2 linked regions of the Macaca fascicularis genome follow. The protein of the gene in region 1 binds, or shares a complex with, the protein of each later gene. Links are inferred from orthologs where the notes say so. Each region holds a gene or a part of one and is shown on either strand. Other genes may lie near its edges. The genes, in order: FARSB and FARSA.

The links.
Region 2: the proteins of FARSB (region 1) and FARSA are in contact, whole or in part, in a crystal structure (PDB 3L4G), measured with the Homo sapiens proteins. The link is inferred for Macaca fascicularis from reciprocal best matches to the Homo sapiens genes FARSB and FARSA. Residues at the interface, in NP_005678.3 of Homo sapiens: Glu26, Phe29, Gly32, Leu33, Pro68, Ala69, Asn70, Ile150, Arg152, Asp259, Thr261, Lys262, Arg305, Lys316, Lys317, Val318, Gly319, Ile359, His360, Cys362, Asp363, Glu366, Ala369, Ile370, Tyr374, Asn375, Ile377, Gln378, Met379, Thr380; in NP_004452.1 of Homo sapiens: Ser221, Gly222, His223, Leu224, His225, Leu227, Leu228, Arg231, Ser232, Arg235, Leu239, Gly242, Phe243, Thr244, Glu245, Pro247, Asp249, Asn250, Phe251, Ile252, Glu253, Ser254, Phe263, Gln266, Gln267, Phe277, Phe278, Leu279, Arg280, Asp281.

What each region holds. Positions count from the first base shown.
Region 1 is NC_088386.1:118,591,180-118,595,574, forward strand, and holds the start of FARSB (phenylalanine--tRNA ligase beta subunit), read right to left. Parts: upstream 2,811-4,395; 5' UTR 2,792-2,810; coding exon 2,734-2,791; intron 1-2,733.
Region 2 is NC_088393.1:13,328,129-13,332,599, reverse strand, and holds the start of FARSA (phenylalanine--tRNA ligase alpha subunit), read left to right. Parts: upstream 1-1,454; 5' UTR 1,455-1,469; coding exon 1,470-1,616; intron 1,617-4,471.

The sequences.
Region 1 (4,395 bases):
TCCTTGCTAAGCAAAGAGGAGGTAAAAAGGAAGGTGGGGACTGGTAGAAACAATGAAATTTCAAATAGAAAGCAACCCTTGGAGGGACTAAAGAGAGAGAACGTGGATTTTAAAAGTGTGAAAAACAAGAAAAAAAGAGGAAGACTGGGGAAAAAAAAAAAGGTAAGAAACAAGATGTATCCATACTACTTGGAAACCACATGCTTTGCTGAACATGCTTTTCCAGTTCTGACCTCAACCCAGTTAACAGTTTCAAGAAAGAACACAATAAACGTAAACTAATGAGGAGTATCATTTCTGACCTCTCGAAAGTACATCTCAAAAATAACATCAATTCTCTTGACCAATTTTTTTTTTTTTTTTTCTGAGACAGGGTCTCACTTTGTGGCCGGGGCTGGAATGCAGTGGCTTTATCACCACTCACAACAGCCTTGACCTACTTGGTTCAAGTGATCCTCCGGCCACAGGCTCCCGAGTAGCTGGGACTACAGGTACACACCACCACACCCAGCTACTTTTTGTAGAGACAGGGTTTTGCCATGTTGCCCAGTCTGGTCTCCAACTCCTGAGCTCAAGCAGTCTGCCCACCTCGTCCTCCCAAAGTGCTGTGATTACAAGCATCAGCCATGAACCTGGCCCTTAAAAGATTCAGTACCTAACAAACACATATTTGTGAAAAAAATCAATCTTAATTGATCACTGACAATATGAAAAAAAAAAAGGGAAGGGGACAGAATATGTTGAAACATCAGATGACAGTAAATAGGTTATAAATCTCACCATTTTTAAAAATCTGGATTATTTCTTACCTCCCTAGAAATGGAGACTGGGATGGGAACGGATTGTAGATGTTTTGAACAAATATTTGCCACCTACCATCTTAGGCAATTCAGGTATACAGATAGAGCATTCCTAATTCAAAAATCTGAAATCTGACATGCTCCAAAACCCAAAACCTTAAAGTGTAGACAGGATGCCACAAGTGGAAAATTCCACACCTGACTCCATGTGACTTGTCAAAAACACAGTCAAAACCTTGTTTCATGCAAAAAAAAGTATTTAAAGTATTCCATAAAATTAACTTCAGGCTATGCATATAAGGTGCATATGAAATATAAATCAATTTCATGTTTAGACTTGGGTCCCACCCCCAAAATATCTCATTATGTACATGCAAATATCCCCAAATCCAAAATCCAAGACGCTTCTGGTCTCAAGCATTTTGGATCAGGAATTAGCAACCTGTACCACATCCCATTAGTGAGAATATGGTTTAGAAGGTCAGGTAAGAAATATAAATAAGCTCATTATAAAATAAAGCGATTAGGCGATTAGAGACAAGTACAAAGGGTAAGAGTAATACAATACCCTTGTATTTCCTTTACTTTCAGGGACTTATGGCAGAACTTACGAAGAATATCACATTGAGAATAGGTACTATCTAAAAGTACACGCTTAGGAAAGATTTTTAAAAGCCAGTTTTATTTTCACAGTAGCAGTAATATCTTATTTTGGAAAGCGGTGGCTGTCATTAAACCAGTTAGGCCTTTGTTATCACACTGAGCGCTAAAAAGAAAAAAACAGCTCTCACAAACCAGTTGGTACAGTCTTTATACAAGCTAAAAATTATGGGGTGGGGGCCGCGTGCGGTGGCTCACGCCTGTAATCTCAGCATTTTGGGAGGCCGCGGCTGGCGGATCACGAGGTCAGGAGTTCAAGACCAGCCTGGCCAAGATGGTGAAACCCGGTCTCTCTAAAAATACAAAAAAAAAATCAGCCGGGCGTGATGGCAGGCGCCTGTAATCCCAGCTACTCGGGAAGCTGAGGCAGAGAATTGCTTGAACCGGGTGGCGGAGGTTGCAGTCAGCCGAGATAGTGCCACTGCACTCCAGCCTGGGCGACAGACCGAAACTCCTTCTCAAAAAAAAACAAAAAGGGTGGGGCACCTGCTACGGCTGTGAGGTAACTGATAACTGCACTTAATATCTCCCTCCTTTTTGCAATGGTTGTGTTTTTAGAACTGAATAAAAGATGAAATGTAGAATGAAGTCTACGCCCACTGAATACTCCTCATCCAGGTCTCAGATCAAATGTTACCACCCTATCTAAAGTTGTTCTTGGCACAACACCTCTTCTTTCCTTGATGGCATTTAACATTATCCGAAATCATTTTATTAATGTGCTGGTTAATTGTCTGCCTCCATCAGACAGAACGTGGACCTGACGTGTCATGTGCACAGCCCTAGTCCTAAGCTCTTCGAACAGTGCCTGACACATAACAGGCGCTCAGGAAACATTAATAAGACGAAGACAGATGGAATGCCTTTCTCCATCCCGCTGCACAACTCTCTCCTCCTACCCCTTTATAAACTGAGTTCCCACAGCGCTCTTATTGCAATGAACTGGCTACGCTCGGGATACAACCCCGGGTTTCCTTCCTGTTCTATCCCCTGGCTTGGATGTCGGTGCCAGGCACGCTGTAGGCACTCGATGGCAGATCGCTGAATGAATGACACGGCGAGCCGGGCACGAGCAGTGGCACCCCTGCGATGCCGGTTCCGAGGCTACCACAGCCCAGTCGGACCGCCACCATCATCGGCCCTCCAGTATAAACCCCGGCCTCCCGGGGCCAAAACCTTCAGGAAGACATGAATGTCACCACAATGCCCTTTAGGAGGGAGGCCCAGCCTCCAAGAAGAGGCGTAGGGCCCAATGTATAGGGCCGGCACTCACTGTAGGTACGGCCCAGGGCTTGGAAGAGCAGATCACGCTTCACGCTGACAGTCGGCATGGCGAGTCGAACTCACTGCGCCTGCGCGGCGAGCTGACCCGGGATTCCCTAGCGAGGCGCGTAGGACCCGCCTCTTCTTGTGCGAGCTGTCTTGAATATCGCCATTCTGCTGCCAACAGTTCCAGTTCTTATTTTAACCTAAAAACACTCATCTTGCCATTACCTCGCTGGCTAAATGTATCTTTATGGGACTAATAGCTTAAAAACCTGTAAGAGACATATAATTTGATAGCACTGGCTAGGATTTGTCAGGCATTGTAACGTACTGTCCCTGAAGTCCCGGATGCTTCCAGCGCGCTAAAGGCAGGGCGGAGAGAGGGGCGCGTCAGGGAGGGGGCGGGGCCTCCACGTGGGAAATCTTGCCTGGAGGTGGTGGAAAGGCGAGAGGAGACGGTTCAAGGCTTCCTGCAGAGAAAGGTGTGCAACTCCTGGCGGCGGAAGAGGGGCTGTTAACAGACCTCAGTTTTTACTTCATTCTTTAATCTCTCCTATACTCGTATAAGTGATATACCTGTGTTTCTTTTGAACTTTACGGCAGCCCTATAAGGGAGTCTTTGTAAGAGACCTCCTTTTTAGTCTATTTGCTCAGTGCTCTCTGCTGTCAGTGGGCTGTGCTCAGCCTTCCTCCTTAAAACGACCCTGAGTGTAGTAGGCTGAATAACGGCCCCCAGTAGTATCAGACCCTAATCCCTGCAACCTCTAAATGTAACTTTATATAGAAACAGCGCCTTTGCAGATTAAGGATTTTGAGATAAAGATTATTATCCTGGATTCTAAAGACGGACCCTGAATGGAATCACAGTATCCTCATAAAAACATAAAAGGGAGGTAGAGAGAGACGATGTAGCCACAGTGGCAGCCACAACCCAAGGATGCCAGCAGCCACCAGAAACAAAGAGACAAGCACACTCTGGGAGTGAGGGGGTGGAGGAGTGGGGAGCATCAAAAATAGCTAATAGATGCTGGGCTTAATACTTAGGTGATGGGATGATCTGTGCAGCAAACCACCATGGCATACGTTTACCTATGTAACAAACCTTCACATCCTGCACATGTACCCCTGAAATAAACAGAGACAAGGACAGATTCACGCCCAGCCTATGGGGCAGCCGTGTAATACATGCTGGTTTGGGCCCAGTGAAACTGATTTTGGGTTTCTGGCCTCCAGAACTATGAGAGCATAAATTTTTGGTTTAAGTCAGCAAGTTTGTGGTAATTTGTTTCAGCAGCCAAGGGAAACTAATATATCAAGGTAGGTACCATTATCCCTGTTTTACCAGTAATGAAACTAAGGCACAACCTGGCATTTCCAGGGGGAGACTTGCCCTAATCCTTTCTACTGTACAGTGAGTGAGGGCTTCTTCCAAGGTCCTTCACATGAGGAGACAAAAGCTGAGCCAGATGTAGGACACTCTAACTACTAATCAAGCAGTTTTTCACTACACAGTATTAGCTGCCTTCCATGGGAAGGCAGTCCCTTCCCAATGACCAACATAACAGATTGGCAACACCCCATAAATGGCAAACATGCCCAATGCAAAATACAGTTTTCCACCTAAAATTGGTGCTTCGTGCTCAATTAATAAGCAAAGGACTAGTGCCAG
Region 2 (4,471 bases), on another chromosome or scaffold:
TTTTTTTTCTTAAGAGTCAGGGTCTGGCTGGCTGGGCACGGTGGGTCATGCCTGTAATGCCAGCACTTTGGGAGACCGACGCAGGAGGATAACCTGAGCCTAGGAGTTTGAGACCAGCCTGGACAACATGGCAAAAACCCATCTTTACAAAAAAAAAAAAAAAAAAAGACAAAAAAGAAAAAGCTGGGTGTAGTGACACGCACCTGTAGTTCCAGCTACTCAGGAGCCTAAGGTTGGAGGATCATTAGAGCCTGGGAAGTCAAAGCTGCAGTAAGCCATAATTGCGCCACTGCACTCCAGCATAGGTGACAGAGCAAGACCCTGTCTCAAAAAAGAAAGATGTTGGCCGGGCACGGTGGCTCAAGCCTGTAATCCCAGCACTTTGGGAGGCCGAGACGGGCGGATCACGAGGTCAGGAGATCGAGACCATCCTGGCTAACACGGTGAAACCCCGTCTCTACTAAAAAAATACAAAAAACTAGCCGGGCGAGGTGGCGGGCGCCTGTAGTCCCAGCTACTCGGGAGGCTGAGGCAGGAGAATGGCGTGAACCCGGGAGGCGGAGCTTGCAGTGAGCTGAGATCCGGCCACTGCACTCCAGCCCAGGCGACAGAGGGAGACTCCGTCTCAAAACAAAACAAAACAAAAAACCCAAAAAAAACCAGAAAGATGTTTTGCACTATATTTCTATAGGACAGTGCTAATCTAGGCCATGCAGTATTTGCACCGACGTTGCTCTCAGTGCACAGGGGTGGGGGATCTGGAAGGTTTATAATTTATGGCTTAATTTCCACCAACTCTCTGTAGAACCTTGGGCAAGTCATACCACCTTCTGAGCCTCAGTTTTCTCATCTGTGTAATGCGGTTATATCAGTATCTACATCATAAAGTTTTGGGGAGAAATGAAATTCTACACGTGAAGTACTTAGTTCTGGGCTAAGTACTACCACATAGGAGGTAGTCCACACAGGTTAGGTGCCACCTTGACTTACTAGATGAATCCTTTTCCCCTCTATAAAAAGGGATGGTACCTACCCAGCCTTCCTTTGAAATTTTAAAAGTAGCTGACATCGCCAAAATGACCATCTCTGGAGCCCACCACCCACCGCCTCTCGTAGGGCAAGAGAGAATACCAGAAGGGCAGACATTTCTGTAACCCAGAGAGGGTTAAGTCCAAGGTCACACAGCCCGCTCGAAGTGAGGCTAGATAAAGCTCAAAACAGGGCGGTGCTTCTGACCTTGAGATAATCGATTTTCCTCTCTGGTCAACCAGACGCCACTGATGGAGCCAGGGTGGAGGTGGGAACTGAGTGCCGTGCACCTTCTGAGGCTCCGTCGCCACACTCAAGATGACGACACATTGAGCCCTGCTCTGCGGTTAGACACATTCAAGATGGCGATGCACAGCCCGGATTCCGGTTCCGGTGGCTCAGGCCCCGGCCAGGACACGCTGAGCACACTGGAAGCAGCCATGGCGGATGGTCCGGTGGCGGAACTGCTGCTCCGGCGGCTGGAGGCGTCCGATGGCGGCCTGGACAGCGCCGAGCTGGCGGCTGAGCTGGGCATGGAGCACCAAGCGGTGGTGGGCGCCGTGAAGAGCCTTCAGGCACTGGGCGAGGTGAGCCGGGCCCGTGATGCCGGGCCGCCTTGCCCTTGCACCTACGGTCCCCTTGCCAGGAGGGCTCTACGTCCAGACCAAATTCCCTCAGGCCTAGTTTGGGGTAGCTGTATATGTGTCCACCCCGGGATGCGCGGACGGGAAGTGGGACGAGTGAGGGCCCAGATGTTCCTCATGCAATAAACGTTTATTGAGGCGCGGTCAGCGTGGGTAGGGGGAACGATAATGGACGAGGAGGACGCGGTTGCTGCCCTCACGCAGGTTGCGACCTTATAGGAAGGTGCTTCAAGAACTAGAGTGATGGGGGGAACACAGGGGACCCAGCTGTGACAGCTGACCCAGGCTTGGGGGTCAGGGAGAGCGGCCTGGTGCAGGTGACGGCTGAGTCGGTTCTCTGTAGAGGAAAGTGATACCACTTTAGAGATCAGTGGCCGGGATATTCGGGGATGGCAGGCGGCGAGGGAGACCAGCATAGCTGTAATTGCAAGGCCTCTTAGGTCTTTACCTCACGAGGGAACTGGGGAGCGATAGCAGGAGCTAGAGCCCGGTCAGATGAGTGTGCTATCCACATCACCTTTGGGAATAACTGGCAGGGACAGGACAGGAGGTGAAGGGATGAAAGCAGAAGCTGGCACTTCCCCAAGCTGGATGGCATGATGTCTGGCTATGGGAAGGCAGCTTGGGGGAGGTGGGGAAGGCATGGGATTCAGGACAAGGCAGGGGGCACACCGATGAAGTCCAGCCTTCTGACTTGGGCAAGTAGACAGTGACAGAGTCACAGGAGGAGGATGCTGAGGGGCCCGTGGGCCACCCAGAAGGCTAGATCCATGAGGCCAGGATCTGGGCTGTTTATCCTTAGAGCTCACGTTCTGCGCCCCACTTTGGTCTCAGCTTGTTTGTCCAATTCATTCCATAATCCTGGCTGATGGCCATGTTATTCCCATTTTGCAGATGTGACAACCGATGGTCAGTAACATAATCAGTGTGAATAGAAGAGGCCGATGAACCCAGATTTGAAATTAGGCACTCAGGCTGCAGAGCCCATAGTCCTCAATGCAGAGGCAGCTGTGTTCTGTTGGGTGACAGTGCTTTGATCAATATGATTTGACATTTGTATACGTCACAGAGAGTTAAATAATATAAGGAGGTAAGGTTAAATCTAATGACAGTAATAGCCATAAAAATAATTATAGTAGTTAGAATTTATGCCGGGTGCAGTGGCTGACGCCTGTAATCCCAGCACTTTGGGAGGCCGAGGCGGGTGGATCATGAGTTCAGGAGTTCAAGACCAGCCTGGCCAAGATGGTGAAACACCGTCTCTGCTAAAAATACAAAAAATTTAGCCAGGCGTGGTGGTGGGCGCCTGTAATCCCAGCTACTTGGGAGGCTGAGGCAGATAATTGTTTGAACCTGGGAGGTGGAGGTTGCAGTGAGCCAAGATTGCACAACTGCACTCCAGCCTGGGCGACAGAGCGAGACTCCATCTCAAAAAAAAAAAAAATTTATGCAGCAGTTGTCACATGGTAGGCACTATATATTTTTTCTGAGTATTAATTTAGCTACTCCTTAAAATCATCTGAGGTAGAACCCATCACACCTTTCTCTTATGGATGAGAAGAGTTGCTCAGAGGTTAAGCAACTTTCCCGAGGTCACACAGGAAATGAAGGGCAGAGGTAGGATTAGAACGAAGTGGGAGCCAGGTCCTGTGCACTCTATTTATCCTTTTTGTCCTTTTCTTCGTGACTCTGGACCTGGAACCTCAGTTTTTGTTTGTAATGTGTACCTCCAGGGCCCTTGTCTGACATTCTGGGCACTGACATGTGAACATTTAAACATGGAGACAGGTTGAGCGTGGTGGCTCATGCCCGTAATGCCAGCACTTTGGGAGGCTGAGAAAGGAGAATCACTTGCGACTAGGAGTTTGAGACCAGCCTGGACAACATAACAACACCCTGTCTTTAAAAAGTAATTTAAAGGGGCCGGGCGCGGTGGCTCAAGCCTGTAATCCCAGCACTTTGGGAGGCCGAGATGGGCGGATCACGAGGTCAGAAGATCGAGACCATCCTGGCTAACACGGTGAAACCCCGTCTCTACTAAAAAATACAAAAAACTAGCTGGGCGAGGTGGTGGGCGCCTGTAGTCCCAGCTACTCGGGAGGCTGAGGCAGGAGAATGGCGTGAACCCGAGAGGCGGAGCTTGCAGTGAGCTGAGATCCAGCCACTGCACTCCAGCCTGGGCGACAGAGCAAGACTCCGTCTCAAAAAAAAAAAAAAAGTAATTTAAAGGGCTGGGTGCAATGGCTCACGCCTGTAATCCCAACACTTTGGGAGGCCAAGCTGGCCGATTACGAGGTCAGGAATTTGAGATCAGCCTGGCCAACATGGCAAAACCCCATCTCTACTGAAAATACAAAAATTAGCAGAGCATGGTGGCACACACCTGCAATCCCAGCTACTTGGGAGGCTGAGGCAGATAACTGTTTGAACCTGGGAGGCTGAGTTTGCAGTGAGCCGAGATCGCATCACTGCATTCCAGCCTGGGCGACAAAGTGAGACTCCATCTCAAAAAAAAAAAAAAAAAAAAGAAGGGTAATTTAAAAATTAACCAGGTGTGGTGGCACGTGCCTGTAGTCCCAGCTACTCAGGAGGCTGAGGCGGAAGGATCACTTGAGTCCAAGAGTTCAAGGCTATAGTGAGCTATGATCACACAACTGTACCCCAGCCTAGTAACAGGGTTAGGCCCCCTCTCAGTGAAAACAAAAACAAAGAAAAAAATGTGAAGGTGAATCAGTTCACCTAATTTTTCACCTTAAAATCTGTCACAGGTTCAAAACTGACAGTAAGAATTTGTCCTC